Lepisosteus oculatus: one gene and its partners. Each later gene encodes a partner of the first gene's protein in a complex. Links are inferred from orthologs where the notes say so. Each region holds a gene or a part of one and is shown in the gene's direction. Other genes may lie near its edges.

What was found.
Region 2: usp39 (region 1) and lsm7 share a complex: the UniProt entries of both Homo sapiens proteins name them as parts of the U4/U6-U5 tri-snRNP complex. The link is inferred for Lepisosteus oculatus from reciprocal best matches to the Homo sapiens genes USP39 and LSM7.
Region 3: usp39 (region 1) and sart1 share a complex: the UniProt entries of both Homo sapiens proteins name them as parts of the U4/U6-U5 tri-snRNP complex. The link is inferred for Lepisosteus oculatus from reciprocal best matches to the Homo sapiens genes USP39 and SART1.
Region 4: usp39 (region 1) and lsm3 share a complex: the UniProt entries of both Homo sapiens proteins name them as parts of the U4/U6-U5 tri-snRNP complex. The link is inferred for Lepisosteus oculatus from reciprocal best matches to the Homo sapiens genes USP39 and LSM3.

What each region holds. Positions count from the first base shown.
Region 1 is NC_090697.1:70,093,436-70,101,155, reverse strand, and holds the start of usp39 (ubiquitin carboxyl-terminal hydrolase 39), read left to right. Parts: upstream 1-4,701; 5' UTR 4,702-4,866; coding exon 4,867-4,921; intron 4,922-5,374; coding exon 5,375-5,456; intron 5,457-6,481; coding exon 6,482-6,576; intron 6,577-7,038; coding exon 7,039-7,175; intron 7,176-7,720. Other genes in the region: c2h2orf68 (UPF0561 protein C2orf68 homolog), read right to left, coding at 1,597-1,719, 2,801-2,946, 3,265-3,380, 4,047-4,177.
Region 2 is NC_090724.1:6,313,176-6,320,310, forward strand, and holds lsm7 (U6 snRNA-associated Sm-like protein LSm7), read left to right. Parts: upstream 1-4,127; 5' UTR 4,128-4,280; coding exon 4,281-4,286; intron 4,287-5,028; coding exon 5,029-5,119; intron 5,120-5,310; coding exon 5,311-5,382; intron 5,383-5,924; coding exon 5,925-6,067; 3' UTR 6,068-6,750; downstream 6,751-7,135. Other genes in the region: sppl2 (signal peptide peptidase-like 2), read right to left, coding at 345-527, 1,776-1,892, 3,762-3,809. UniProt on the Homo sapiens protein: Plays a role in pre-mRNA splicing as component of the U4/U6-U5 tri-snRNP complex that is involved in spliceosome assembly, and as component of the precatalytic spliceosome (spliceosome B complex).
Region 3 is NC_090713.1:22,042,465-22,050,176, reverse strand, and holds the start of sart1 (U4/U6.U5 tri-snRNP-associated protein 1), read left to right. Parts: upstream 1-4,700; 5' UTR 4,701-4,926; coding exon 4,927-5,197; intron 5,198-6,415; coding exon 6,416-6,470; intron 6,471-6,650; coding exon 6,651-6,706; intron 6,707-7,670; coding exon 7,671-7,712. Other genes in the region: collagen, type I, alpha 1b-like, read left to right, coding at 45-172, 2,149-2,398, 2,641-2,767. UniProt on the Homo sapiens protein: Plays a role in mRNA splicing as a component of the U4/U6-U5 tri-snRNP, one of the building blocks of the spliceosome. May also bind to DNA.
Region 4 is NC_090699.1:59,414,141-59,422,030, reverse strand, and holds the start of lsm3 (U6 snRNA-associated Sm-like protein LSm3), read left to right. Parts: upstream 1-4,876; 5' UTR 4,877-4,933; coding exon 4,934-4,954; intron 4,955-5,422; coding exon 5,423-5,533; intron 5,534-5,911; coding exon 5,912-6,007; intron 6,008-7,890. Other genes in the region: gamma-glutamyl hydrolase, read right to left, coding at 1-27, 828-942, 2,450-2,552. UniProt on the Homo sapiens protein: Plays a role in pre-mRNA splicing as component of the U4/U6-U5 tri-snRNP complex that is involved in spliceosome assembly, and as component of the precatalytic spliceosome (spliceosome B complex).

The sequences.
Region 1 (7,720 bases):
CTGAGGCACTTATCTGCAGATTTCTGACAATGCTCCCATAAAGAAATGCTCAGTTTTTAAAGAATATAAATGTGGGCTTCAAAAACATATTGTATGACTATTCATGGTCTGCTTGCTTTTCAGTTGGCAAAATTGAGGCTTCAGGTAGACTGAATATTTTTTTTAATATCTTTAAATAAAACTGAATAAAACTTTAAAGCAAAACTACTTCTGGACATAAAGAGATTTTCAACTTCAAAATGAAACATAAGAAAATAGTTCTTTCCTTGAATAATGCTGCTTACAAATACTGGCAACATATTCAAAGAATACCGGCTACCTAAAGCACAAAATTGTTTCTGTTAAACACATCCTAACACAGAATTACACATATCAACGGAAGCGTCTTAGCATTTGTAGAAACCATTGCAGAGTTCCTTCTCTAGATGGCGAAGGAAATGTACGTTACATCATGCTGTTATGGACCATCACATGGCATAAAAGGCATGTATTTTTCAACAGAGAATAAAAAGGAACTGTCAACAAAGACAGTGACTTTCTAGGATCCTTTTTATCACTGGGGGGTTAATTTGAAAGAGCTCAAAAGGAAGAACTGCCAATGAGAAGCACATAAAAAAAGTCCCATTAAATTAAATGACTTCCTAAATGTTTCTCTTCACGTTGGCTGAAAGATCTCCACCATCGCACTCAAGATAAGCAGCAGTATCCCATATCTGTATGTACTCACATTTTAACAGAATTACATTCTTCTCCTTTAGAACAACAAAGCTCTGAACATTAGTAGCTTATCTGGATGATGTGCTGTTTCTTTCCGTTTGTTGTTCCTGTGTGCTTCATTCACATCACACCCTAACAAATTTATTTTCTCACTTGTTACTTTTTATTGTCCATTTTAATCTAGAATTCCAGGCCGAATAAAATAAAGATACTGAATTGACCAAAACAAAATAACGCAATAATGACACAAGGAATGCATGAAACAACAATGAGTTTGTGGTCAGGCTTATCCATTGACGGCAAACCTGCTGCAATTGGAGAAACTGTTAGGTGTAATGGATTAGTCACCTTATGATGACAGTTTAGCAGCACAGCAAGTTATAGCAAAAGAACTCTATGTCCCGAGATACAATACTGAGGAACTATCGCTGTACCAGCATTCCACACATCCTGTCTGCCAGTATTGATATTTTTTAAGGGAAGTGGGTCTTGGCACAAAGGCAGCTAAACCCGATCATCCTCCTGTTCCAGATCTCTTGTTGAAGTTCTGAGATGCTTTATTTTTATTGCACTCTCACCATTAAGAGATCTCCGTTTCCTAGAACTCGAATTCCTAGAATGTAACTGTTCTGATCGGAGGACAGTCAACAGTTTACTCACAGGATCTGTGAGCCGCCATCCTTTTTTGACAGGTATAGTCTGGGGAAGGGTTCCATTTGCATGCCTGACATGCTGAAGACGGAGGCTCGGGGGTGCTGTGAACTGGCTCAGGTAGGGATGGTGCCTCCCCCCAAACTCCCCCCTCCCTCCCCTTCTCCTTCCCTTAGATGCTGCAGTGGATATTCCAGGCCCCGGCCCTCCCCCCGCCGCTGGCCCGGCTCAGCGCTTGTCCCGGCGCTTGTCCATCTCCTCCTGCACGCGTGCCCTCAGCGCCGCCCGCATGGCCGCATCCAGCGCGTTCGCGGCCGCCACCTTCTCCACCACCCTGTCGGGCTCGTCCTCCTGCAGGAGCAGACACACGGGCACGTCCGTCACCCACCCGGCCAACAGAGATCCAAAGTCACAGCCGACACCCGAAGAGGGCTCCGCAGCCGAAACGTCGTGTTTCTTTTCAGCAGGGAATACTTGTTCCTTTGCAGCCTATGCGTGCTGACCTGCTTGAACGACTTGAAAGTCACATGACTGTTCTAAGGGTGCTGTTAGCCTAGCAAGGGAAATCTCTGATGGCTTCTAAAAAACAAAAAGTGTGCATTTGCATCAATCAAGCCAACCTAGGAGGTGAAAAAGTCCCAAAGGAAACATTTAATAGATAAGATAAGATCACTTTATTGGCCAGATACAATTTCTTGCTTTAGGAATTTGTCTTGTCGTATACCCCAACTTGCTCTCCATGAGACACACAGACAGGGAGAGAAGCTTGGGGTTATAGCGCAGGGTCAGCCATTTATACGGCGCCCCTGGAGCAGTTGGGGTAAAGGGCCTTGCTCAGGGGCCCAACAGAGTAGGATTCCTCTGCCGGCTGCGGGATACGAACTGGCAACCTTCCAGCCACAGGCGCAGATCCTGAGCCACAGAGCCACTGCACCGCCCAAATTTAATGTTTGGCACTGAAGAACTGCTGGACCTGCTTCACATCCCTCATCATCATTATAAAATCCCCATCTATAAAATTGGCTTCATTACTCTGCTCTCCTCCCCACTAATAGCTGATGCGTGGTGAGCGTTCTGGCGCACTATGGCTGCCGTCACATCATCCAGGTGGATGCTGCACATTGGTGGTGGTGGAGGGGAGTCCCCATTACCTGTAAAGCGCTTTGAGTGGAGTGTCCAGAAAAGCGCTATATAAGTGTAAGCAATTATTATTATTATTATTATTATTATTATTATCATTAATAAAACCTCCTTAATACTGAACTCCCAGCTCCAACCCATTATTCAGCTTATGTGTGGGTACAGCAGAAGCTGTGAATGACACCCTTCTGGGTTACCAGCTTGTATGAAGTCACAGCAGGCAGACTGTCCAATAGCCCGCATGCCTACAATAAGGGATACTGATGAGATGAGACCCGTGACTTGGCTTCACCTTGTAGACGACGAAGGAAGTGATCTGGCCGCTGTCAGCTTCGTATTCCAGGCAGAACAGCTCCGTGCCCTGGTGCTCCGGCTCCGTACTGGAGCTGCTGTCGTTCGATTCCTCGTTCTCCGGCCCCGCATTCTGCTCCGAGGCACCTGGGGGGAACAGCACAGAAGATTCGGCTCGACGCTGCCCCCCACCCAAACACTTCAGATCAGAGCAGGGGGACAAGGAGAAATGCTTCTGGCTTTAACTTTACAGCCCCTCTGAACCTGCTAATAACTGGCACAACGTGTTTTTTTTCTCTGCTCATAACCTAGAAGAAAGAATATCTATTTCAAAAAGTCCGTGCTTGATTTTTGAAGAGGCCATTCAGATTTTCAGTTCATTCCCTTAAGTGTGGGCTTGATGGATGGGGCTCTCTTGCTGTTCTTAAAAGCGAAGTCTGAGAGCACGTTTGTGCAAGGTCTTACTCCTGCGTCGAGGGTGATACACCTGGATGTCTGGGCGTCGCGGGCGGCTGGGCGTGTTGCTGTGTCTGCGTTTCTGCTTCTCCTTCGCCTGCTTCACCTCCTTGTCATAATCGTCTCTGGGGGAGAGACAGAAACACCATGTCACCTTTGCAGGGGCAGCAACCGGCTTTTACCCATTCTGAATGAACCCATTATTACAGAAACCTTTTCATTTCACTTCTGAAAGCAGACTCCATCTGCAGATAAAGAAATAAACAGGGCTGGTTAGTTCATAGTTTTTCACTTTCGTGTACCATTTCATTTTTGGATGCCAACAAAAATATAGCATGCAACAAGGTTCACATTCCAATTATACCAACAATTTCCTTTTTTTTCCTGTAGAGTTTTTAAAGAATAACTTAAATGTGATTTGGAAAATGGTAGATATAAGAAATGCATGGAGGGTAATTATTACAGTAGTACTTGACTTTATTATTTAGCAGACAACTTACAGTGAAATTACTTTCTGGACCGCAGAGACTTAAAAAAGCAAAACAAGCCCTTTTGCTCAATAATTTGAGTGAATTAAGAGCAGTTTATCGATTTTTTTCGTCTTACTCAGGGAGAAACAATTTAGCGGAGCGAGATGCGCATGTGCAAAACGGCTTTAGCAGAAGGCGTAACCTCTTAAGGAATAATTATTATGCTTAATGATACACATGTTATCAGTTTAACTAAAAGGCCAACAAAATTTCGATCCCTTCTACAGTACGTATGTGGCTTTTAAACTATGTTCGTCAAACCTGGCTATCTGGTTCCTGCGAATGTGGTGTAAAAAACCGTGGTTCATGTCTAAACGGCCTCCAGGCTTGCATTTGGTATGCGGGTCGAACCCCGAGCCCACCGATGCTTCTTCTTCTCGCAGCACCTCCATTTTATTTGTACTAGCAAACAGTGTAAAAAATAGCAACCGATAAAAAAATTACGCCAACTTTAGCTGGAGTCCTGGCACTCGTACATCACTAGACGTTCTCATAAAACTGAATGAAAAGACCAGGGCCACTAGCCTGTTGACCAACACAAATATTATCCGGAGTTGCGCAATTGTTAGAGCCTTCTCCCTTCTAAAATTTGAACTCTTAATTAAATCATGAAATCACTCTGTTTCACATTGATCATTTCTGTACTTTATACCCGTACATATGTTTAGAGTTTTATCGCCTTTGGACGTGTAAGGTATTTCAGCATGTTGTACCAGATTATTTTTCGGTTGCGTTATTTTCCTCTTTCCCTCTTGTAGTTAAATAATCCCGCGATACGTATAGTACAAAATTCAGCTTTTTAAATAATAGTTAACAGATGCCAGAGGTGAAATAAAGACAATGTTGACAGAACTGGAGCTTTTCACTTCGAAATGAATCAATGTTTCACAATGTTTACGAGCACCCCAGAGTTCAGCGCGGAACTCTGGGTTAGGCTTTAGTTGGCCTTCATGTTGAGTCGTGGTGTGCGAGAGAGTGGTCATTGAATGGTTTCAAACAACCGGGAGTTTTATCAATACATTATTATTTTCAAAAACGTTATCACAGTTATTCATTCATCAGTGTAGTTTTGTGAAGGAACATGGTGTCATTGAAGCGGGAGAGGAATCCGGAGCTGGAAGATGGGGAGGATGATGGTAAGCATATTGAATAAACTACAAGAGGTATACGGAAAGCTGTTGAACGACTGTAGATTTTTCATATGCACTTCTGTATCTAAAACAGAAGAGCTTTTCATACTTTGCAGTTTCTATCAAATAAAGTACTCGGAAGCGTAGGCTGGAAAATCGGCTGTGGAAATGAGGTGAACGATGTTGTAAAGTTTTACAAAATCCCACTTTCCCGACGTTTCGCTGAGGGCTAAAGCCATGGTGCAGTCTGTTTGCAGAGAAACCGACGTTTTGAATTCATTGTCAACTGATAACACTTTTCTAGACCGTGTCTGTTTTGTGTTGCTTTTGAGCAATTTGCTTATGTATGAGAAATTTGGACCACAATCAGACGACTTTATTCTGCTTGTTGGTACTATATTTTAATACCGGTAAACATGAGTGTAGCTGACAACACTGTTTTCACTGTGTTTCAACCAGTCCCAGCCAAAGCCGGACGCTCACAGGATGTTGCTGAAGATCACAGGAGTCGACATTGCCCGTATTTGGACACTATCAACAGGTGAGTTAAGAGAAATGCTGACCGAACTATTCATTGGTTTGTGTTATTAATTTGTTTTCAGAGGCATGTATGGAGGAAATGGTCTGCAATTTTTGTCGAGACTCACTTTTCCTAAACCTTGGGAGGTCGCTGAATGGTTTGAGCAACTTTTTTCTCCACTGAAGACCGTTCAGACTGTGCGAATCTGTAAATGGGTATAGTTCAGAACTCGTAAATGCAGAAAAGGTTAAAATTCCAGATGGGGCACTGCAGTTGAGCAATACACTTCACCCGAGTTTCTCTAGTAAAATACCCAGCTGGGTAAATGGCTGCAGAGACATGTACCTTTGGATAAAACTCCAACCAGATAAATGTAGGGTTTCTTTACACATTGGATCATAGTGATGATCATTAGAGCTGAATACACCACAATACAGAAAAGCTATTGCTGATCTGAAATCAGTCCAGAGAAGTACATAAAATGGGTATCTTACACTGTTTGTTAAAAGAACTGAACTTTTTCTAGTCTTGAACGGGGAAGACTACGAGGAATCTGCTTCAAGTGTTTAAAATCCTCAGAGCCGTTCTGAAGAATCAAGAGACAAATTCCTAATGCAAGAAATTGTATATGGCTAATAAAGTGATCTTAAAGTCTAACATAAAACAGAGGATACAAGTGGAAATTACAGGGAAGTGCAAATAAAATTGAGAGGTACGGGTCTTACCATGTTCGTCTGGGTCACTTCTGATTAGACGTATGTCCAGCTTTCTGATGTGAGCTACTCTGCTATTTGAGTTGTTGAGCATTCAACCCCATAGCCTCTGCAGTTTGTTCCAGATAGAAGCAGATATTAAGGACACATTTGTCATTCCACATTTTAATGTTGGGGCTTTTTATTGTCTTTTGGAAGATGCCGCGGGAGGCAAGCAAAGGAAAGGAGCAGGCACAGTGCTTCCTAAGAGAAAGATAAAGAATGTGGCAGAAATGCTGTTGTAAAGCTTGGTGGAGAATGACAACATACTCTTTCTTTATTTTGTCCTCCTAGGAGTGTGTTGGACTTCGATTTTGAAAAGCTGTGCTCCATTTCCCTCTCTCACATTAACGTCTACGCCTGCCTCATTTGTGGGAAATATTTCCAAGGTGAGTGCAGAGGATCTTGTGTGCCTTTCACATCTCCTCTGTGGACTTGTGATCCTCACAGGATATGCCAGGCTTTGCCTCCTGTGTCTGCCTGGTTGGGCTCTGGTTCACTGCAATCTTCCTCAGGGTGAAGTACTTACTGAAAATGGAAGGATACAGTATAATAACACCATTTTCAAGTCAGTGCCATAAATGACCTCTTAGAACCAATCCTTCTGACTCACGTCTAGGTGATTTTTGCCCGTTTGGGTGGAGATTTTACTATACGTTTAAGCAACAGTTAGATCTGACCGAATCATTCCCGGTTTCACTGGTAAGAGAGAGTGGTCCGCCTTGATTTTAGGAAGTATTCAAGCTTTGCAGTGACTTAGCGAACTTACCCCTGAGCATATGGTGGACACCTCTGTGCGTGTGAAGTGTTCTTGCTGGACGATAATCCTGTGCTTTGGCTGCGCTGTGCAGGTCGTGGACTGAAGTCCCATGCCTACACCCACAGCGTGCAGTTCACCCATCATGTCTTCCTCAACCTGCACACCCTCAAGTTCTACTGCCTGCCGGACAACTATGAGATCATCGACTCGTCCCTGGAGGATATCACGGTGAGGAGTGGGAACTCGCAGCCCCTCTTTTACTTTGGATTTACTGTTCGATTATAAGTTGTCTTCACTTTTGAGAATATAATGTGGTGGTAGATCAGTCAAAAAAAATCAAATAGTATTTTTTTACTGTATACGTGATTATTGTGTAATTTTGTAACCTGCAATGGAATGGTGTCCTGTCCAGGGTGTATCCCCCCCTTGTGCTCTTTGCTTGCTGGGATAGGCTCCCCTTCGACCCTGTATTGGATGAAGTGGTTAGAAAATGGATACATGTGACAATATGCTCAATTGGTGACAATGTTGATCATGTTTAGGAATGTGCAGGAAGGCAGATGTAGGCAGGATGTATCCTTGCTGCCTTCTTTATTCATTCCTGTTTGCCTGGCCAGCAGTGAAGAGTAGTTGTTAAGCTTCTAAACTTGTAAAATGTCTACAGATGTCTAGAATAAAAACTATATGATTAATGATGGCTGACTAGCAATTAACATAATCTCCTCTTCAGAGCAGAAAATGTATTAACATGAAAAAGAATCTGGATTTCTCTG
Region 2 (7,135 bases), on another chromosome or scaffold:
TGGATGAAATGGGTCCCCTCATATATGAAAAATGCTTTTAGACTTGAGGTGCTATATAAATGCAAATGAATTATTTACCAGCTAATAAGAGTGTGCTTTGATTTCCTTCCAAAGTCCAAAAGAACTACTAGTAGATCCTCAGAAAATTAGCCCTGGTGTGAGTGTGTGTGTCTGTTTGTGCCCTGTGATGGACTGGAATCTTGTCTGGGGTGTATCCTGCTTTGTGCCAACTGTTTGTCAGGATAGGCTCCAGCTCCCCTGTGACCCTGTATTGGACAAAGCGGTTGGAAAACGGGTGGATGGACAGGAAGAGAGGGATAATCAGTGCCCAGCTGGCCACTCACCAGCCTGTCTTTGCTGACGATGAGCAGCCCCTTGGCCCCGTTGATCTGAGCCAGCCTGACCTTCTCATAGAAAGTGCAGTTCCCCCTAAGCACCATGGGAATGCGGTTGGGGAACCCACCTGCGGGCACCTCTGACGGGGAGCACAGCACAGAAGCAGTCAGGTCATGGATCTGGAGCCGGGACTGAAGAGTTTGAGAGCGACAGAAGAAAGTGGGAAAGAAGACTCCTTTATATTTGCCCAGAAGACCAACTTCAAGAGACACACAACAGCAAGGATTTTTTTCTTTTGAAAATGCTTGTCTTACGCTCACACATGAGGTGATCCTTTACGGAGCTCAGTAAAGTCTTGCACTCAGCTGGATGGGTGTGGCCCCACTGAAAAAACACTTTTTGTTCTCTTAGCATTCTGCCCTGGAAGCTGGAATTGTAGCACTTGTTTAAACAGGGCAAAACAAACAGTTCAGAGACACCTGGGCCCAGCAGTGCTATTAAACTAGAGTTCCTGTTTTTTTAGGCTGTAGACACAGTCCCTGCACTGGGGCAGGGCAGTGTGAGCCGCCGAGACAGGTAGCGTCCACAGACATGCTCTCACGCTCACACGACAGATGGGATCCTCATGTTACTGGGAGAGCAGTCTCTACCCCAAAGCCTTCAGGGATACTGCTGCTGCACAGTCTGGTACCTTTTCACCAGGCAAAAGCAGCCCCTGACAGGGTCTGAACCTGAGACACGGCTCTTGTGCCATTTTACCTTTTCATTAAAATTAATAATTCCCAAAAAAAAGGATTTGGCTGGGACTCGTTAGCATCACTGCAGTCTGGCCGGGGCTAGAAATTGCACAGAATCCATGAGAGACAGAACTCCCTTGCTAGCAGGGCTGTGCACCTTTCTCAGGTCAGTCAGCTCGGACTCCATCAGAGCACTGATCGGCATTTCACAAGGGTGAGTTCGAACCACTGCCTGCTTGCACACCCTGCACGCAGTTCAAAGGTGCCTGTGTAATTCCACCCATGTTGCCCAAAGACAAAGAAACTATAAAGCTTCCCAGAGGCGGGGGTCATTTATTTGCAGCAAAGTGTCTGCCTACCTATTAGTTGTAAGACGATATGTGTTTACCAGCATTGAACCACTTGAAACAATCACAGGCATGCAAACGAGCTTAACACTGAAGGAAGTGTGTGCCATTCTGTCCGAGTGGAGCTTGCACATTCCCCGACGTTTGTTGTGGTTTGTTTCCATGCAGAGGCGGTCTGACTGGGCTGATTCAACACGTGTGGCCCTGGGGGTCAACCCCTGGTGCCCGTGAGGAAAACCTCACCTCTGCGCCCCGCCCCTTCGAGGAGCAGCTGCAATACGGTCTGCACGGAGAGCAGGGTCGCGACAGGGGGGCCGCAGGCTGGGCGGCTGCAGAATTCCTGGACTCTACTCACCGCCTTGTTGAGATCCTGAGGTAGGTGTGCCCACTGGGAGTTGAACAGGATGCAGTAGTCCTTCCCTTTACTCTTCCCTCTCTCACTGACGTGCGCCATGCCATACTCCCCCAGCACCTGTGGCAACAACACTCGTAATCAGGTGCGTTTCCCAATGCATATTTGAATACTTCTGGGCCTTTTACTTGACTCTCCCCTCCCTAGGTGCCATGGCAGTAACTGTTCAGAAGGCACCAAGAGAACTAAGCACAGCAGCCCCGTTTTAGGAAGGTAGAGTGATGCAGTGGTTATTATTGCTGGGGTTCAATGCCAGATCTCGGGTGCCGTCTGTGTGGAGTTTGCATGCTCTTCCCACGTTTGCGTGGGTTTCCTCCAGGTGCTCCAGTTTCTTCTTACAGTCCACTGACATGGTGGGTTAACTGTCTTCTGGGAAATCTGGCCCCGTTGTGAGTGTGTGTGAGTGTGTGTGTGTGTCTGTCTGCCCTGTCATAGACTAGCATCCTGTGCAGGGTGTATCCTGCCTGGTGCCTGTTGCTTGCTGGGATAGGTTCCAGCTCCCCAGCGTCCCTGTACTGGATAAAGCAGTTAGAAAATTGATGGGTCTCAGTCATCCTGGGGCTGTGGGTGACTGCGGGGATCCCTACTGAAACAGTGTGGATAGATGCCTTTTCCCATTACCTACATGGAAAAGAGTATTCATGTTAAGCAACAACAAAACACTCACACTACTGCTCACAGTTATTACCCCGTATGACAAGTGAGTGGACGCCATTCGGTTCATCTGAATTTGGTTGTTAATGGCTAACTTATTCAAAGACCCTCTCCCAGGTGTTGCTAATTCAGGGTACCTCTTCAGCAACAAGGGTGCCAGCTTGCCTCCCCACAAGCCTTTGTGTAAAGAGGAGTCCCCCTGGTCACAGTTTTAAATGCACTGTCCTGTAGTTTCTCTTTGTATCCTCTTCTGAAGAAGGACGTTACTTTGACTCTGTCAGTGATTTTGAGGATTTTGTCTATTTTTTTTTGGTCTGTCCCACAGCTCTTCGGTAATGAGGATTACTGTTCTGGGTACTGTATCCTATTGAATCAGTGTTCTGGGCGATACTCTGGCGATGTTTAGTCTCAGACGACCAACTCATGTACTTAAAAAAAATAATTCGCCCAGCAATAAAGTCTCTAATACCAACGTCTCATGGGATAGCTGAAAAACTAAATAGTCCATCGTTTTAAATTTCCAGGTTTCGGCGCTTTGAATGAATTCACAGGTCAGTGCGCCTCCCATCGCGATTTCTTTATAAACATTAAAATGGTCACTTTTCTTGGTTCCTTTTCTAGGACAACGCTAATAGCATGTTCGCTACATATTGATGTTAATTTTGTTTTTTTTAACAGCCATTTTCAGTTCGGTTAACCACAAGGTTACAATCAAAATGCGGACGGTTTCTTTCTAACAAGGAAAAAAAAGGAGCCGGTAACCACTGGAATTGAACTGCAGACTGCATATTGGCCGCTGTTTTGTGAATTAAACGTTCTTGTAGGGGGTTTTAACATGTTTACCCTCGTCTTCATCTGGATCTAACGCGCAGTAAAGAAAAATCTTCTTTTTTTCCCCCGGAACAGTGCTCAGCTCAGGTCCAGCTGATCCACATCTATCAACAGCAGCAGAGGTAACTGTTGTAGATGTTAGTTTATAGGAGAAGGAACCCAAAAACGTATTACATCGAGGAATTCTAGGTTCTGTACAAAGGAAGTATATACATTGAGGAGCTGAATGTAAAAATAATAATTATAAGAAGTGAAGCATCGCTTTTTTACACTCGCTTATCCATCAGAAGACTCATTACATGGGCCCATTAATTATAATAGCTACCAACCAGAATATCGCCCCCTTAGGTCGGATTTCAGCTATTTACTTAAAATCGTTAACGCTCGAAAGCCCTGCTTAATGCAATATGTACTACAGCGAATAGGAGATATTCAGTATCTCACCTGTTTTACCAATATAGCTCCGAAAATCAGAGCACTCAGGTCCCTCATGATGTCTGGCTGTTATTATGGTTTATCCCCGTCATAAGCCCAGTCCACCATCAGCTGTTTTGGAAGCTCCCGCCCTCGCCATACCGCAGCGCGACTTCATTGGGTCATTTCTGTTATGCTTACTCTCGGTCCGCAACACTATTGGTCAATAGTTCCATCAATCAAAAAGAAGCTCCCGCATAAAAAACGTAATTTGCTACTATCCCTGTCAATCAAACGTACCACTTCCTCGGGACGAGTCCACAATTTACCGCAAGGACTCTATGGTAGTGAATTCCATGCCTTGTTTCAAAAACTGAAGCTTATTTAGTTAAAGGGATATTTCTTACGTTACTATTTTAGTGTTTACGTGTACAGGTGTACGTTTGTTAGGAAACATTATGTAAAGAATAGTTCCTGAAACATGGAGTTTCCCCCAATCAAAGAGGTCAAAGTTTAAAGGTCGAAGGGAGGAGCTCACCCAATTGAAAGATGGCGGTGAGTATCGGTGAATGGTTTTCGTGTATGATTTGTGTAATATATGGTTATTTGTTCGGTATAGTCTCTAATTTCCACTGAAACTGTAAATTATTAAATCTAGTTTTTGTTTGTCTCTTTTAATGGTGAGGGGTATAGAAAGTTAGGCATTTTAAACATTAGAATTCCATTGTGTAAAAGAACCATTTTAATTTTACCGGCTTCGTTTGACTGGTACTAACAAAATGTTTCTTTTCAAACGTTTTTTTAATGTAAAGTTATTGTAGACAACAGAAAAAACGATTTTATTCCTAGCTTTCCGAGTCTTAAGCCCTTGGATGTCCGACTGTTTAGCAAAGTTAACTGAAACGCTGGCGAGCTAGATCCCTGCGCCTGTACATATTTTTCTGGAGGTATACAGAGCATGTTTTCACCTGCAGGAAAACCTGTGTTTGGCGTTGCATGAGTTGAATTCGTTTATTAGTCAGAGAGCAGTAACCAGGCCTCCAAAATAATGATTTTATTTAGAGAAAAATTGTCCATATCGTAAATAAAGCACGGTGAATGTCTTGATTAGCCGTTATTACTTCGTGGGCCGCTGTTCCGGGAATAACGAAGAACGATACAGTTAAAAAGACTTGTACTGTTCCGTTTAAAATACACGATGAGCAGTGGTTGGTCCGAAATGTGTGTATTGTCTCCCCAAAGTAGCCCTGAACTGTCCCTTTTTAACCCCACCTGTTAAAAACGTTAATGGTTTCAGGATAAAGAGAAGAAGAAGAAGGAGAGCATATTTGATTTGTCAAAGTACATCGACAAGACCATCCGTGTGAAGTTCCAGGGTGGACGAGAAGGTATGTTATAGGAAACTGTGTGTTTGTGTGGGCCTTTCTTCTTCATGCAAGAGTTCCTCCCAAACTCTGCAGTGCTCTTCTAGGTAGTGAATGAGCAGGTGGACCTGCTGGTCGTCTCCTCTCGGCTCTCCTTTGTCGAGTGGATCGACTGCAGAACGACTCACGGAGCCTTTTGCTTTTCTCTCTGGCAGCCAGTGGCATCCTGAAAGGGTTCGATCCGCTCTTGAACCTGGTATTGGACGGCACTATAGAGTACATGAGAGGTAGGTGCCAGTGCCTGAAGGCATAGTTCTTAAATTAAGGTCCAAAACCCCCTGCAGCTCTTAGCTTTGGTCTTTACCAGTCACAGCCTCCTAATAAGCCCCATCTCTGAACTGGCTTCATCACTCTGTTCTCCTCCCCACTGAGAGCTGGTGTGTGGGGAGCGGACTGGCGCACTCTGGCTGCCATTGCATTATCCAGGTGGGGCTGCACACTGGGGGTGGTGGAGGGGATCCCGATTACCTGTAAAGTGCTTTGATTGGAGTGTCCAGAAAATCGCTATATAAGTGTAAGGGATTATTATTTTTGTTATTTTGTTATTTGTTGTTGTTATTCAAGTTTTGAGGCATATGGGTTTTGTACAGACCTACAGGCTGGCAGTCTCAGAGGCAGCAGAATGCTGTGCTATAAATCCCTACAGAGGGAGTTCCATCTGGTCAACTGCCTGGGTACGATGGCTTATGCCCAGGCAGACACTGTGCATGACTTGTGCTGGCGAGGCTCAGTCTGCCCTTACCCCTCCTTTGTTCCGTGTCGTCTGCAGACCCCGATGATCAGTACAAGCTGACGGAGGACACCAGGCAGCTGGGATTGGTGGTGTGCCGGGGAACATCTGTGGTCCTCATTTGCCCCCAAGACGGCATGGAGGCCATTCCCAATCCTTTCATCCAGCAGCAGGACGGCTAGAGGGGTACCCTGCTCCCCTTTCCTCTCCAATACCTGTGCACAAACCTTTCTGTACCCCCAAAGCGACATCATTGTTGTGGCCTCAGGAGAAGTAGTTAAAGCTTGCAAGTTTCCATGCAGTCTCTTAAACACCCTGCAGGTGGTGGTTACCCCCGGTCTTTTCCTGATCTCGTCTATCTCCCTCTGATAAAATGTCATCTCTCTGTACCAGGGATTCCCAATCCTAGTGCTGGTGTGTCCAGTGTCTTCTGACATTTCATCAATTTGGGCTTGCTGCTTCTTAATGGATCCCTTATCTAGGCTAGTTATTAGATGGATTATAGAGCATTTGTGCATAATTATGACACTGGAGATCTAATGCTAATTACATTTTCTTAACTTCTAATTGGAACATCTTGGCAACTTAAAATTAGCAAATGTAGTCCATTTAAGGGTTTAAGTAGAAAACCGGAGAAGAAACTATTGGAGACGGGTCACCAAGATTGAGATTTGGAAGCCCAGGTCTGAGCTTCTCTGAAACCTTGTGTTAAGGCTTTGTGCACTAGAAGACACGGTGAAGAGGGGAATGTGTGATCAGATGACAGAATCATGCTTTTCTGTGACTGCTGAATAATGTTTCAAATGTTGCTCTTCGGTGACTCCTATGGCAATCTTCAGTTTTCCTTTTTTTAATTTACAAATGAAATTGGAGCCTGCATGGCGATGGATGGAGATGGGGAAAGGAGGGTGTCGCAGATAAATGTAAATAAACCAACTAGTTTACATGCTTATTTTTATTTGGTTCATAAGTGCAGAGAGAAACGCCACTCTTCTGAATGCACTTACTTTTGTTTTTGTTATTTTCAGTGTGGTGAACAGTTATTCGGAGAGATTTCACTTGTGTTGTCTGTACTTGGGATATGTTGACAACAGCCTGTGGGGTTAATTGATTTTCTGATTTGAAAACTTTAAGATGTACATTGTACAGACTTTAAAAACACATTCTCTTTTTTTAATCGATACACCGGAGTGTGCTTGGTTTGATGTTTTTTAGCCGTTTAAGTTTATTTTAATGCTCTAAGATGAAAC
Region 3 (7,712 bases), on another chromosome or scaffold:
CTCCCCCCTCCCCCGACTGCCGTGACGTCACCCTCTCCTGTGAGCCGGGGAGGAGCTCCCTCGGACTCGGCAGAGGAAGAGCCGCAGCCAGCTCCCAGCTCGGTGCGCAGCACGCTCGGTGTCCCGCTAACCCAGACCCCGGCCCCCGACGGCCCGCGCGAGCTACCGCTTTGTCAGCGCCACTCGCAGCTTCTCCCCAGAACGGCCCCGTGTTTCACAAAAGCAGCCTCTGCTGCAGGGGAGTGAGAGTGCGGCTCCCGCCGCCCCCGGTGGACAGTCTGCAAACTGCACGGCCCGGCTCCCCGGGGTCAGAGACCCTTCCCCGGGGCACTGCTGGGGCCCTCGTCACCGCAGCAAAAACAAAACCGTCCAGCCTCAACACTCCGCCTGCAAGCTGAGCAAGCAGCACCAGGAACACCACCCCGCTAACTGAATTAGCGCCAGGTAAACGGGCTGAGCCCCGCTCCCAGACTGCAAAGGCATTGTGCTCTTTCTTGCCAGCCTTATCACCTCATTTCAATACACTGTGATCTCCCAGACTGCAGACTGACCCCCGACACCTCGACCCTCGCCTGCCCTGAATTACCCAAACGACCCCTCTGCCAGAGCAACCTGTTGCTTTAAGGGTTAATGATCAATACAAGCCTTCTTGAGCCTTGAAGTGACACCGCCCCACAAAATTAAGGTCAGAGCAGAATACAACAATTGACAATTTACAGGATTTACGCAACAAATAACACAAGGAGATACGGCAGGGCTAGGAGCCCCGTCATTTATATCCTCTGACGGCAAAGCACCAGGTAAGACGTGGCTGCACCTCATCAGTTTCAAGAGGCCTGGCTGTTTAGCAGCGGTCTTTGGGTAACTGCTGGTGGCCGTCTAGCAGTCTTACGGGCCGAGGGAAAAGGCCGTTTTGAAATCCGTCGGTCTCGGTACGTAAACCAGGCCCCGCAGACCGAAACGACACCGCACGTACGAACCCCAACCAACACGCACAGACGGCAAATAAACTCTCAACTAGTTGGGACTGCGCACAAGGATTTCAGTCAGTGTCTGTGCAGCTCACCTGGGGCCGAGCCCCACCCCCACCCGGCAAGACACCCTGCTCTCTCCTGCTGGCCGTTATCGCCCCATTCAAACAACGTCAATGCGCTGGGCTGAGCCCTGCTCCCAGACTCCAAAGGCATTGTGCTCTTTCCTGCCGGCTTTATCACCTTATTTCAATACAGTGTGATCAATTCAATTCAAGGTGCTTTATTAGCATGACCGATGGGTACAATCAGCGTTGCCTTAGCAAATAAAAGTAATGATATTTACATTAAACAAAACAAAAAATTAAAGTAAAATAAAATCTACAGATTCCCAGACTGCAGACTGACCCTCAACACCTCTCATTCTCCTGCCCTGAATTACCCAAACGACCCTTCTGCCAGAGCAACCTGCTGCTTTAAAGGTTAATGATCAATACAAGCCTTCTTGAGCTTGAAGTGAGTGTGTATTAGATTAGTGTGTATGCTCCTTTTGTTGCACCCATGAGAGGAGGAAGCAGGAGCTGGGCAATTGAGCACTGTTTTGTCTCAGTTTGCTTTACTGGACTGTGCTGTTGGGGCCATGGCTGGGAAGGATTCTGCAGGATGAACCGAGTCCGTTTCATAGAGAGATTTCTTGAAAACATTGGTGATGAGTAACCTGTTGCTTCAAGGTTTAATGATCAATAGAAGCCGCCCTGAGTCCTGAAATAACGCCGCCCCACAAAAAGAGCCCCATCAGACCGACTCCAGTGGAACTGGGAACTGGCCCCCTGCCCATGGCGCTGGAGGAGCTGCAATTAAACCAGGCCCGGCAGGGCCCCCCCTCGTCTACTGCACCGCGCACGGCCAGAGACAACGCCTCAAACACACGAACCCCAACCAAAACACGGACAAACGGCAAATAAACTCTCCCCCTCTCTACCAGTTCGGACTGCGCACAAGAATAACAATACCAAACAGAAACCGAGCTAAAAGAGGTCGAAAAAAGAAAACGGTGCAAACTAACGCAACGCCCAACTAAACTGGGTTTTAGTCCCGAGTTAAAACCCGTAAAATTCGGATTCCTACGGATTCCTTCTCTTTTCAGCAGAAAATAAACTTTCCTGTACCTTTGCAGCCTCGCCTGCTGACGCAGCTCCCTGCCTGCACCTCTCGGACGGGACGCGCCGGGTCCAGGGGAGGCCGGGGTCAAGGTCGGGCCCGGGGGCCGTGGGCTCAGGAGCAGCCGAGCCGGGGCCCGCTCCCTCGGCGGCCCGGCCGCAGCAGAACCCGGCCGGGCCGCTGAGCCTCCAGCCCTCCGCCCGGGGAGCTCGGCTTCACCGCGGGTCCAGACTCAAACCAGGCCCGCTGGCGCGGCGGGAGGCCTGGTCACCGAACGCCGCTTGGCGTCTCTCAATTAAATCGTTTTTTTTAAAACTATCGTCCCGCCCGTGGGAGCTGGTTTGTTTATTTGAAGAAACGCGTTTCTTTACCTGTTTTTCGTCCGTCCGTCGAGTCGGCCTCGTCTTCCTCTCCGTCAATATTTTACAATAATTTTAATTACAATTCGCGCTTCCAATTAACTCGACGCCACAGACGATCTCGCTCCACTGCTCTCGCGCACGCCTAGCCCTTCCCACCCTCAGCGCTTCCACGCGAGGCCCGCCCCCCACCGCCAGCCAATAGAGAGCGTCCGTCGGCTCGTCCAGCCAATGGGCAGGGAGCGGGAGGAGGGCTCAGTACCTCTCGGCCTGTGATTGGCCGGTAACAAGCACACCTGCAGGTGTCTCCTGAGCATCTCGAGCCTATCACCTGGATTTATCACGCACTGATATTCAGGACCGCGCCCGGTTTTTACACACGAAAAATAAAAAAAAAAACATGCCTGAAATGTCAACGTGCGCTTTTGACTCCCGAACGAATTTCTTATTTCCGTCCATAACAATTTTGGTCCCCGGAAATGTGGAGGTTCTAGCCTGCAATTCTAAAAAAAACCGTTAGAAATGAGAAAAATAACGTACCCGAAGAGAAAGAAATGTCAGTATCCCCCCTAGTAGCACAGCTGGGTCACGGGGGTGGAAAAACGCCAAACCCGAACCTCTTCCGGCCGCCGAGGAAAAAGAAAATCACGCGTCACCAGTGAAATTTCGTCAGAAGAGCTATCGCCTGCACATATAAACACGATGCTTCAATACATATCTGTCTTCATGGAGACTTGTCAACGCCTGCCCCACCGGTGTTATCCAAGTAGATTTTAAAAGCAGTACTGCGAAAGTATTGCAAAAAAGGTTATTCAAATGATTGAAATGGAGGTCGTTAAAATTCACATGCCCCTCAATTTATAGAGACCTTATTTATAGCATGTTCTGGGAAACAGTACACACAGGAAACACAGGACGACATAGTCATTTTGTGCTGTCATTTTATTTTTTCACGTAAAAGCACCACAAGCCAGCTGCCACAATGTGCCAGCTGACCTCAGGTCAGTAACTGGTAGCCATTGAGATAAGGGCTTCTGTTGCTTCATAATACCAATAAGATCGTTGCTGACAAATTACAATAAACTCACTATTTAATGAAATGATTTTTCTAAAAATATGTTGTTCAATTTGCACTTTATTGTGTTTGTGTTTCCGGCATCAAATATAGTGTAGTAGCTAGTCGGTGATCCTGAATTTTATACTGGTACTCAGCTGAATCCAGATTTCACTTCTAACATTTGAATATAGAATTGTCATATGAACTGTCTTCTTTATGGAACAAAGGTTGGGAACGTGAATTAAATTCCTCATTTCAGTTTTAAATATAAACACAGATTTATTTTAAATATGAGTTGTGCCGCTTATAAATTATGAAGTATAGCATGACACCTCTATGTAGTAAAATATGCAGCGCTTTAAAAACTAGAATTTAAGCACCTTTTACCCTTTTTACTTCTGTTTTACCTGTTAACAGGTAATATGTTTGAGCTAAAAGATAACACTCTTTTCCCTCGGGTATCATTTCGAATACTATTTACAACTCTTGTCTATAAGAATTTTATGTCCTGTGGTTAGAAAATTATGGATTGATCTGCAAAGTGATATAAAGAAAGGCTTCTGATATTGACGTTACCTTGAAAGAAATAGATAGTCACGTTCATTTTTAATCTCATTGAAAATAAAATGAAAATATCCTTTGGCAGTGACTGAATCATTGTATTTGCACGTTATTATGGATGCAGGTGGATGCTGCACATTGGTGGAGGTTGAGGGGTCCAGAAAAGCGCTATATAAGTGTAAGCAATTATTATTAATTATTATTATTATTATTATGCACAGAAAATGAAATGGTCTGGGAAGAGACCCGCGGTTGAGCAGTGTGAAATAAACCGTATCCACAGATTATTTCTGATTATTTATGTGAGAACACGAAAGCAGGGCGGGCTTCATCTTGATTCACCTTGGTTAATCCTTTTTTGTAAAGTGCAGTTGTCTTACTGCATGTACCCCTGGCGATGTTATTGGTGTACTCTTGTCTGTATTATATGCGTTGTTGTTGTTGCAAGAACAAAAACAGTTTGTTGTAAACTGCTGCGCTCTTGCGGTGCTGTAGCGGAATCCGGCAGGGGGCGCTCGCACATTTAAGCCGCCCGTCTTGTCTCCTTGACCCGGAAATATATTCGTGTGTGGGTGCGCGTGGGGGGGAAGGGGAGGGGTGAAAGGTTATTACTGCGTTCGAGCGTCGAGACGGTTGTTGCGTTGCTGTCGGTGTTTTCGATCGTGGAAAAGACATTTTTGGGGGTTGTTAAAAAAAAGAGAACTCTCTAGCGCCAGGGATTGTCTACGCCGTTGGCGAGTGGGCTTTGTTTCGATAGTTTACTCGCCTGTGGCTTTTTCCCTGTTTGTATTTTTACCCTCCTGCGCTCGCTGACGGGATGCGCTCCTCCAAGAAACACAAGGAGAAGGACCGGGACCGGGACACGGAGGACCGGCACCGCGAGCACAGGAAGCACAAGCACAAGGAGAAGGACAAGGACCGGGAGCGGGAGCGGGATGGCGCCAAGGACCGGGAGAAGAGGAAGCGCTCCCGGTCCCGGGAGCGGGAGCGGGGCCGGGGCTCCGAGAGGGAGGGCCGGGGCAAGGCCGACAAGAGCGGCGCCGAGCCGCGGGTGAAGAAGGAGAAGACGGACGCCGGGTACGAGGAAGGTGCGTCGGTTAACGACTTCGGACGAGAAAAAAGCTGCAGCTCTCTCCCTTTTTTTTTAAAAAAAAAAGTTCCTTCTCAAAGTAATAGCTGTGCGTGTATGTGTAATAATAATAAACGTACGTAGCGCCTTTAGAAGTGGGTTCTCAAAGCGCTTCACAGAATAACAGCGACAGGATGTAAATATGCAGGGGGACAGGAAGAGGTTTATTCCGAGACGCGGAGAAAAGAGACGCAGGGTTTCGGCCGTGGAGCCTTTTTCAGGCGCGTCAAGTCCCTACAACCCAATACCTTGCGTCTCTTTTCTTGTCCTCCCAGCAGGGAATAACCCCTTTACCTGTTCCTCTGCAGCACCGCGCTTGCAGACGCAGCTCGATCCTCGAAGGTGCGGTGAAAACCGCAGTAATGGTCACGGTTGGTAGCGGTTCGGACCCGTCGCTGTGCTCCGTGAGAGTCTGGTTTTGTAACACTCCAGAAAACGCGAGAAAGCGGCTCATCTCCCCTCCCTGGCCACGGCTTCATCAGCACAAGAGCCTCACTCAGCTGGTGAAACCTGGAGTGGATCAGACTGCTGTGCAATGGGAATCACGAACACTGTGTGTTGTAATGCTGTGCCAGCCAGCCAGCAATCCAGTCAGTTAGCAGTGGCAGCCCCACTGGAGCCCAGCAGGGTGAGCCTGGCCAGTACCTGGAGGGGAGACTCCTGGGAGAGCTGAGGCTGCTGCTGGAAGAGGTGTTAGTGGGGCCAGCAGGGGTTGCTCACCCTGCGGTCTGTGTGGGTCCTAATGCCCCAGTATAGTGATAAGGACACTGCACTGTAAAATAGTCGCCGTCCTCCGGATGAGATGTAAAACCGAGGTCCTGACTCTCTGTGGTCATTAAAAATCCCAGGGTGTCTCTCGAGAAGAGTAGGGGTGTTACCCCAGTGTCCTGGCCAAATTCCCCCCTGGCCTGTACCCATCATGGCCTCCTAATAATCCCCCTCTCTTTACTGGCTCCATCACTCTGCTCTCCTCCCCACTGAGAGCTGGGGTGTGGGGAGCGGACTGGTGCATCACCCAGGTGGGGGTGGAGGGGATCCCCATGACCTGTCCTGGAGCCTCCACTCAGAGCTCTGTAAAGAGCTATCGAATAGTAAGGACTGTTATTTATTGTTGTTGTTCTTGCTCATCTGTGTCATTTCTGGCGATGTTAACGCGCTCTGAACTGTCTCCGTGCAGCGGCTGGTCCAAAGTCTGCCTCCGGGGATGCCTCTCTCAGCATCGAGGAAACAAAGTAAGTGAGCAAGGGCGGTTTAACAGTGATGGGGAGGGGGGGGTGATGTTATCCGGGGAAATGGATCGGATCACAGGGTTTGCCAGCAGGAGTACCTCTGTACACACTTCCATCGTGACAGTCTGTAATTGTGTCAGGAAAACCATTCACTCCAGTCTGGTTGTTCTTTTCCCCCTCTAGTAAGCTGAGGGCCAAGTTGGGTCTGAAGCCTCTGGAGCTGAATGAGAATAAGAAGGGTAAGTGTTGTGTGTGGGCTTGGGGCTACATTTAGTCCTGTAGGTCACCCTGAATCACGGGTCTCCAGTCCCAGTCCTGGGGATCCCCAATCCAGCGTGTCTTACAGGTCACCCTGAATCAGGGGTCTCTGGCTCTGGTCCTGGGGAGCCCCAATCCAGCGTGTCTTACAGGTCACCCTGAATCAGGGGTCTCCAGCCCTGGTCCTGGGGAGCCCCAATCCAGCGTGTCTTACAGGTCACCCTGAATCAGGGGTCTCCAGCCCTGGTCCTGGGGAGCCCCAGTCCAGCGTGTCTTACAGGTCACCCTGAATCAGGGGTCTCCAGCCCTGGTCCTGGGGAGCCCCAGTCCAGCGTGTCTTACAGGTCACCCTGAATCAGGGGTCTCCAGTCCCAGTCCTGGGGAGCCCCAGTCCAGTGTGTCTTACAGGTCACCCTGAATCAGGGGTCTCCAGTCCCAGTCCTGGAGTCTTATAGGCTAGTTTGGAAGAAACTGTCCCACTGTGCTGTGCTGGCAGCTGACGCTCCTGGGTCTTGCCAACCTGCAGTTTGAGGCAGTTAATTGTCTTCTGGGGAAAATTGCCCCTTGTGTGTCTGTGTGTGCCTTCTGCGGTGTATCCCGCCCTGTGCCCACTGCTTGCTGGGATAGACTCTGGCTCCCCGTTAGGAAATGGGTGGGTGAACAGCAGATGACGCCAAGAGCATCTCTGCTGGGATTCGAACCCACAGCCATTTAGAAATCCAGAACCATAGCGCAGGAGCTGACCTGGGTCCCCGGATCCCAGGTGTTTCCTGAAGGATCCCGGAGCCTCCATCCAGTGGCATAGCTGGGCAGTTTCACGCCCCGCACTGCTCCGACGCCCGAAACGCCTCCCATTGGCCCTTTCCTAAACGCACAAGTGTCCAAGTCCACCTGGCTTCTCTGAGAGCCCTCTCTCTCTCCCCCCCCCGATCCTGGTGGGCTCAGAGCTGGGCACGAAGGAGGAGCCTCTGGTCGCTGAGGTGATCA
Region 4 (7,890 bases), on another chromosome or scaffold:
GTGTATTCTTCCTTTGTGCGGTTTATTCTGTGAAATGACAATGACAATGTAAAAGCATTACAAGATTTAAACAAGCTTTGTCTTTTCTTACTTTTGCACATCTTACATCTGTTCTGAATGTCATCATCTTTAGTCCCAAATCAAATCTCAGCATACATTTTAACATGGTTTCCTAGTCATGCTCAGTTCTGCCTTAAAAACCTTACCTATGTTAATATTCAAATGTTCAAATGCTTCTCTGTTTCCTTCTCTCAAGAACAAATTGTAATTGTTAGGAATCATGGAAATCTTTAATACTCATGATTTAATTTCATGTTTTAACCTTTTAATTTGGTGACATCTAAGTTTGTGTCCTTATCCTTTATGTAGCCATAAATTTGGAATGGCACAAAAAGCATTATGAAAGTGGATTTTAGGCATTTACACTTATTGTGATATACACTATACTATTGTGAGAATGGATGGTACCCACAGACATTTATTCATTCAGAATTAGTTTGTTCTTGACAGAAAAAGAGGTTCTCCACCAAACTAAGTTGTTTTGGGCCGCTGAAATAAAACAGTCCAACACGGACATTGTCTGTAGTCATTAAACTACTCTGATGGAATCAGAATGTACTGTACAACTACCACGCAGGTATTTAACAGAGCCTGTAATTACTTAACTATACAGTTTCAGAAAACAAGACAAGAACGAACAAAGGTTATGTTGATTTAGTACAGTTAATGTTGCATGAATACGCCTGCAATTTCCCAGGAAACAGAGCAACTGGTGCTTTTTTTTTTCTTTCCTGTCTGCTCTACACTCCTGAGTGGAAAGATCTTACCTGAGTGGCACAACCCTGGCTCCAGCGGCCTCCAGATATTTCACATATGAAGCAGCAATGTAAGATGAACCCTGTGCGTGAGGGTCACTGGGAAGATTTTCTTGGGCTACGATCCCTGTAGAAGAAAAAAAAAACGTCTGAAAAGCTGACTCAAAACAATTGAAGGAGTAAGAAGTATCCGTGTTGCCAGATTGTCTGAAAGGCTCGGATGCCTGTGTTGTCACTAGAATTTTGATCATGTAGCTCTACTTCTCCCCAGGACAGAACAATATGTCATAAACATTACATGAAAAGCCTTTAGCATTGCAACGTCATCGGGAATAAATATTAAGTACGGTAATATGTTTCTGTAATACATGTAGCTATGTATTTTTATCATGAATTGGTGATTGAACAGTACTGTACCTCACAATGCCATGAATGTAGACTATATATACTGTACATAAAATGTAAAGTACAGGTTTGAGTAGGAAGCTGTTAGTATATTCATATTAATACTTATATGTGGAAGCTTCTGTAAAGAAAGCTCCATAATTTCAGTTCTTACTATGTATCATAGTGTTGATGTCCATTTCTAACTCATCTAAAAGGTTTCAAAATTTGCTATCTGTAGGCAGTCCATCTCAGTTCAGGTAACTGAATTTTCAATTGCACTCCTGAATTCTGCTGACAGCTGAACCCTTTCCAAGCACCTTTGTCTAGGAATCCAGAAACCCTCCAAGAACCTGTATTCATCCTATTATTAATTTATACCAAATAAGAGAGGCACTCAGCAGTTCTAAAAATATATGAGAAAATCATATAATCAAAACTATAATTATAAACAAGTAGAAGGGAACATGGTTTATGACTATTGCATATTCTTGAAAGTTCTGATATTGGATTCTCCAGCGTAAGGTACAGTAGGTAACGTGGTAATTCAAGCAACTTCTATCCAATAAAGCAGAATAAGACAAACTTCTCTACAATGTAAAAATCTCAGCTTCAATTAAATTGTTTATTAGCTCAGTCACTTTGGACCTATTGAAATCTCCCTGAGCACAGGAATGTCTCTGGTGATCGAAAATAAAGAAACTTCTTTATGTTGGAAAATGCATATTTCTCTGATATAATGTTCAAAACAACGTCGTAGAGTCTACCCTGGGATTTAACACTTTTTCGTTTAATTCTAACAGCTATTTTTTATTTGAACGTTTCACTAAGAATCCCTTCTTCAGTTTGCCGAAAATAACGTGCCATTTTCAACATGTCACAATAATTAAAAATGTTTCCAAATACCAGAACAAATCTTCCCACGCGTATCTGATATATAAATCCGAAATTCTATGATAAGACAAAAATACATGCAAGTGTAAAATATAAAATCTTAACATCCCAACCTTTTATCAGACAAATACTTCACGCATGGTATTACATAACGACTTGAAATTACACTGGCGGTAAAATACATACATTTTCTACAATTATAGATGAGCTCCAATTACTGTATACACCTGCGCATTTAAATGAATAAAAGGTGTGGACAATCGTTGGCTCCCTTACAAAAATAACCTTTGAGAATTTTTAAAACACTCAAAAAAAAAACGTTTAGCAAAATAGTAGCCTGAGTGATGTCACCTTACCAATGATGGGTCTGTAATTTGGAGAAAGGCTAGAAAACGCTGGAATCGGGAGATAACAGATGACACCGACCATCACCGAAAGAACAATAGCCGAAGAGCACATGATAATTTCTGAACTGAGAGTCTTTAAAAAAAACAAATAAACAACTGAAGCCCCTAATTAAATTAGGCCTGATATACAGTATATGCGTATGATATTGAACGACAAAACCGAACGACCTCACTGCGCTACCGTCTATAGCTGCTGCAAAATGCTCAGCACGCTGTCATCTGCTATTTCAAAGTAAAACTTAACCCGTTATGTCCCATTACTGTATTAACCCGTTAAGAGGCAACCTGATGTGTTGTCTTCATTGTCATTTTTTTTCTTTTTCGTTTCACTAAAAAGTTGTCTGACGGGAGGAGTCGGCAGTCTTGTGTGGACTAATCTTGCCAGCCTTCATACAAGGAACATAAGTGGTATAGACTGAAATTGTTATTTGTGAATGAGTTGCATACAGTATTTGGGTTTATTTTCCTTCTTTGTTATATCAAACAAATGCCACCTTCTATCTAAGTTTATTTGTCCCTTAGGCCAACATTGCTGGAAGTCCACAGATGAGACCACTTCTTTCATTGCTAGATGATGGCCTTCCCTAGATGATTTTATACAATATCTGCCTTCGACTTTCCACTTCCTTCTGGATTCTGCAAACTCATTATCTTTTGGTACAGTGTAGTACTGAACCTGGCCTACCATAGTTGTATCTGATTGGAGTGACAGTCATATGAGAATATTTATTGTATATAGGCTACTATGCCGTTTCATTCCTTGATAATGTCATGCAATTATATATCATGGTGTTGTAGATAAATTGTGTTTATGTGTATATCATAAAGGCAACTATGTCTATTATGTATATTGACTGCCAAAAGAAACCAATTATAACTGTAACAAATGGACAGAGGGAAATTACTTTTTTGTAGCATGCGTACTGACATTTTATTGAACAGACACATCATAGTTAAAGTCCATATAGTTTATTTTCAGAAAATAAAGTTTATTTTGATGCTTAGTACATACTTTACATAGACACTCCATGGCTCTTCTGTGGTCCTATCAGACTGCCTTACCTTGGTCATGTGTAATAGCAGTAACACACCAACAACTCCACTACATATCTGACTGAAATAAGGGGGAAATATAGGTAAACTAGATTGTGCAAGCCCAAAGCATATTTAGCAAGGTCATTGGCGTGGACATCACTACTCCTACAAACAGTAACACTGGATATTTATGGGCCATATAGTCACAACCTTTAACTGACAATTAGAAATGCCACAGTTCTACAACTCTCCAAGTAATAAATGTAAGTCTGTTTGGTCAGTAGTAAATTCAGAAGAGTTTATTTTTTAACACATGCATGACACCCCTGTAAAATTTTAAAGGTCCACATTGTGCTTCCCAGTTAAAAAATATGTTTAAATCACAAAATAGTGCAAGCTGCTTTTCACTAAACATCTCAGTGGTTGTGTTTTTTTCATAAATCCCTGAAGCAAAATTTACAGCTTGTACTGATCACTGTCAACGGAGCTAATTTACCTTGTATTTAAATTCAGCAGACTACCAGTTGATAATGTACAATATGTACAATATGAACTTGGCAATGCTTCTGTTTTTACCAGGTGTTGAATGAGAAGTTCTTATAAGATTCTTTTCAAAAGACTGGCAATGTACAGTTTATACTTTGAAATAATCAAAATTACAATATTTAAAAAGTGTGTTAATAATGCATCGCACACCTAGAGTTATGTTATACTGGTAATTAATAAAGATGAAATTACTGCTGAAAGGGGAATATTTTGTTGTAAAATAAAACTGTGAAACACTAGATATACAGTAAATTCCCAGTAAAAAAAAAGAGATTTAGTATCTGTTTGAAACTTTTTTCTAAAATATTTATCTTATCTTTGAGTACCTGTGTGAAGTTAGTTATTCCTTGCTTTTTGTTCAATGTTAGTTACAAGGGACCAGTCTGTGTTAGCAAACCTATCATTGCACTGCAGTAAAGGTGGGAAAAGAAGAGAATATTTCACCATTTATTAAACAGAGAGAAAATCTTAGGAAGGTAACATTTAGTAACACTGAATTACATTTTTAGTAAACGGAGACCACCCCACGTGTACATTCTTACAAACAATGCCATATAATCCTTAAATACAAAAAGAAAACATCCCTTGAACTGTATCAGCATCTGGAAAACGTAACAATTATAATCCCAACTGGTGAAATACAACACCACCATCTTGGTCTTTGGCATCATTTAAAAAACGGAACAAAAATGTTTAAGTGCTTTTTCGTCTTTATTTCAGCTTCGTTAGCCCCGATCTTACTCGCCTCTTTCACTACACTTATTAAAACAACTGATCGTGTCTCTACACATGTCAATAAGAGGTTCTCGCGATAAAACGCACGCTCACAAGGAATTCTGGGAAATTTGAAAGATGGCGGATGAGGTGGACCAGGTTGGGATTTTTTTTTTTACTTTACTATATATTTTTGAAATTCCTGTTTATATGTCTTGCTTGTGATCAGAGAGTGTTTTGTAATGTGATTTTGGCTTTCCGCAAAACCAGAATTCACGTCTATGTGGTGATGAGAGTCGGTAATCTGGATAATAGCCAAAACATTGCAGGAGCGGTAAAAATGAATTGAATTAGCTAGGTGTTTTTTTCTGAAATAATAAGTGGTGATATGGGATGCATATTATATAGCTTTTGGCTTTCTGTATCTTTATATGCAGAAGTGACTAAATACAATGTTCTTGTAAATCAACACAGACGTCATATTAGATTACTGAATCCTTTTAAAATTAAAAAAACAGATACTAATGTAATTTGTATGGCTTTAGTTAGAGGCTCCAGTTTACACAATTTAAACCTTAGGTTTATCTGGACAGTGCACTGTACCGAGTTTTTGTTTTCCTGTTTCAGCAACAGACTGCCAACACTGTTGAGGAGCCTTTGGATCTCATCAGGCTTAGTCTTGATGAGCGTATCTATGTGAAAATGCGCAATGACAGAGAGCTAAGAGGAAGGCTACACGTGAGTAACACCATCTCCGTTTTAAGGCCAGTAAACGGGGAATAGCGGTTATAGTGCAATCTAAAAGATGTTAGTGGCTATATTGACAATTACGTGAATGATTTGTTTTCTAAGACTTTAATTCCATTGTGATAGTACATTTGATTCCATGCTTTAGAATTGACCATTGCTTTAGACAGATAAATTATTAAGTTGTTTGATTACTAGAATCAGCAGCTTTTCATGTTTTGTAATTAAGATTAGTTAGTGTTTTTACCACTTAGCAGAATCAAAGGTAACTCTATGTAGAAGACTTAGGAATTGTTCTGAAGAACTCAGTACTAAGGTTATGTCATATTTAAAATAGAATTGAAAATGTTCTATATTGATTTCTTTCAGGCATATGATCAGCATTTAAACATGATACTGGGAGATGTTGAAGAAACAGTAACCACGGTAGAAATTGACGAAGAAACTTATGAAGAAATTTACAAAGTGAGTTTTTTTTAATTCTTTAAATAAACTATTAATATCTTCCCCCTTTTTGCCACAAAATCAAATCTTCAGTTTTCGCTCTGACTGTACCGAACCCAAGTGACAGGAATGTAATCCTCACAGTTGGAGAAACATCTTCTTGCGTTTTCTGACATCCCAGTTAGAAATGGTGAAGCTTAAAGAAGTTTCCCTTATCAATCTCTTCTTTTTTTATTTCTCTCTGACTACTCTGGTTTGCCTGTGCTGCCTTTTTCTTTAATTACTGCTTCTTACCTTTTTTTTAAATGATTGGACCATCTCACTGAATATTGGTATAGTCTACAAAATATGTTTTCTTGACATTTTTTGTGCCACATGTCCCACTACACATTAGAGTGAAAACGTGTAATTAGTGGTTTAGTTATTCGGATTGGTGTAGGCTACATCATACGTGTACAGTTCTCTGTTTAGATTTGTCAGATTGCACCTTAACATTCAACTTTCCTTGTGAGAATGTGCATTCAGTACCAAAAAATGAATAAGTGATTCCCAATTAGTTTGAAAGAATCAATAATACCAGTTGGAAGGTATGAGACCGTTAAGAACGTTAAAGATTTTACTAACCACTATTTTTCAACACATAAAAGAAACAATGTAAGATAGTTTTTTTACCGGGTGATAATATCCCCAGATGAACCCATTATATATATAATATCCCCATTATTCTAGCAGAAACTTTGATCTGCTGATTTTGTGTTTAAGTATCTTCTCAAATATAAAGTGTCTTCCTTTTCCTCAAAAAACAGAGGCACCATCTACTGTCTGCTTCTGTCGAGTGCCTGCTCATGTCTCTTTCTCAAGTAAATGTTTGTCTTAGAGTCTAAACACGTTTAATGTGTGTTGATGACTTGTTTGAGGTGCAGGGTGTGTAGAGAAAATAGCAAGCATACATTTTGCATATCTGCCCTGAAATTATAATCGGATTCAAATTTCTGCAGTCCTGTTAGGTTCAATTGATAAAAACTATAAAATAAAAATATTGCAAGTTGTGTGAAAAGAAAATGTCATTATGCAACAATTGGTTCATTCAGAAAAAATAATTCAGGCATTTTCATGTTACGTAAGTAACATTAAAAATGTGGTCATTATGCACTTTATGCCAAATTACAATTCCTTGGGTGTCAGTTAGTTAATAACCAAATTAGATAATGCAACCAGCAAATCAACTGTTGTTGTTTCCAGGTCCAAGGAAAACAGTATTTTGTTAATCCCTGTGGTCCTTCTGGTTCATGTAGTTCTTCTGGTTCTGCTTAATGTATTGGGTACCAGCAGAAGTGATTTTAATTTGAGGTTTTGCTACTATTAATGTTCTCATTTATTTGAAGATAAGAACTTGTAATGTCATTGGAAAGCACCTTGACTTCACATACAAAATATGCATAACACCAACAGACAACCTGACATTACAAAAGAACTGGAGTTTTAGGACTATTGAGCCGATTAATCCATTTTGGATTGATATTTAATGTTTACTGGTAATTGTTTACTGAATTAGATTGCATGCAATCTAATAAAATTGCTTCTGTCGTAACTGGAAATTCATGTGAACAAAATTATACATTAAGGAAAAATAGCTGAGAATATGAAAAAATCTAAAATGCTAAGCATAGACATCAACGTTTTAGCTACTGAAAGCTGTTTGGAAACCTTTGCTTCATGCTTTTTATTTCCTTTCCTCTCAATAAATATCTTGAGCATTTTGTACTTTCATTGAGACAATGTTATGCTACTGTGTAGTCTGCCTTAATAATGTATCATTAAGAAAATGTACTCTGAGGAGCTTATTCCAAACTATCTAAGCGTATTCTTGCTTTGCTACATTTGTCCAGAGTACTACTTTCCAA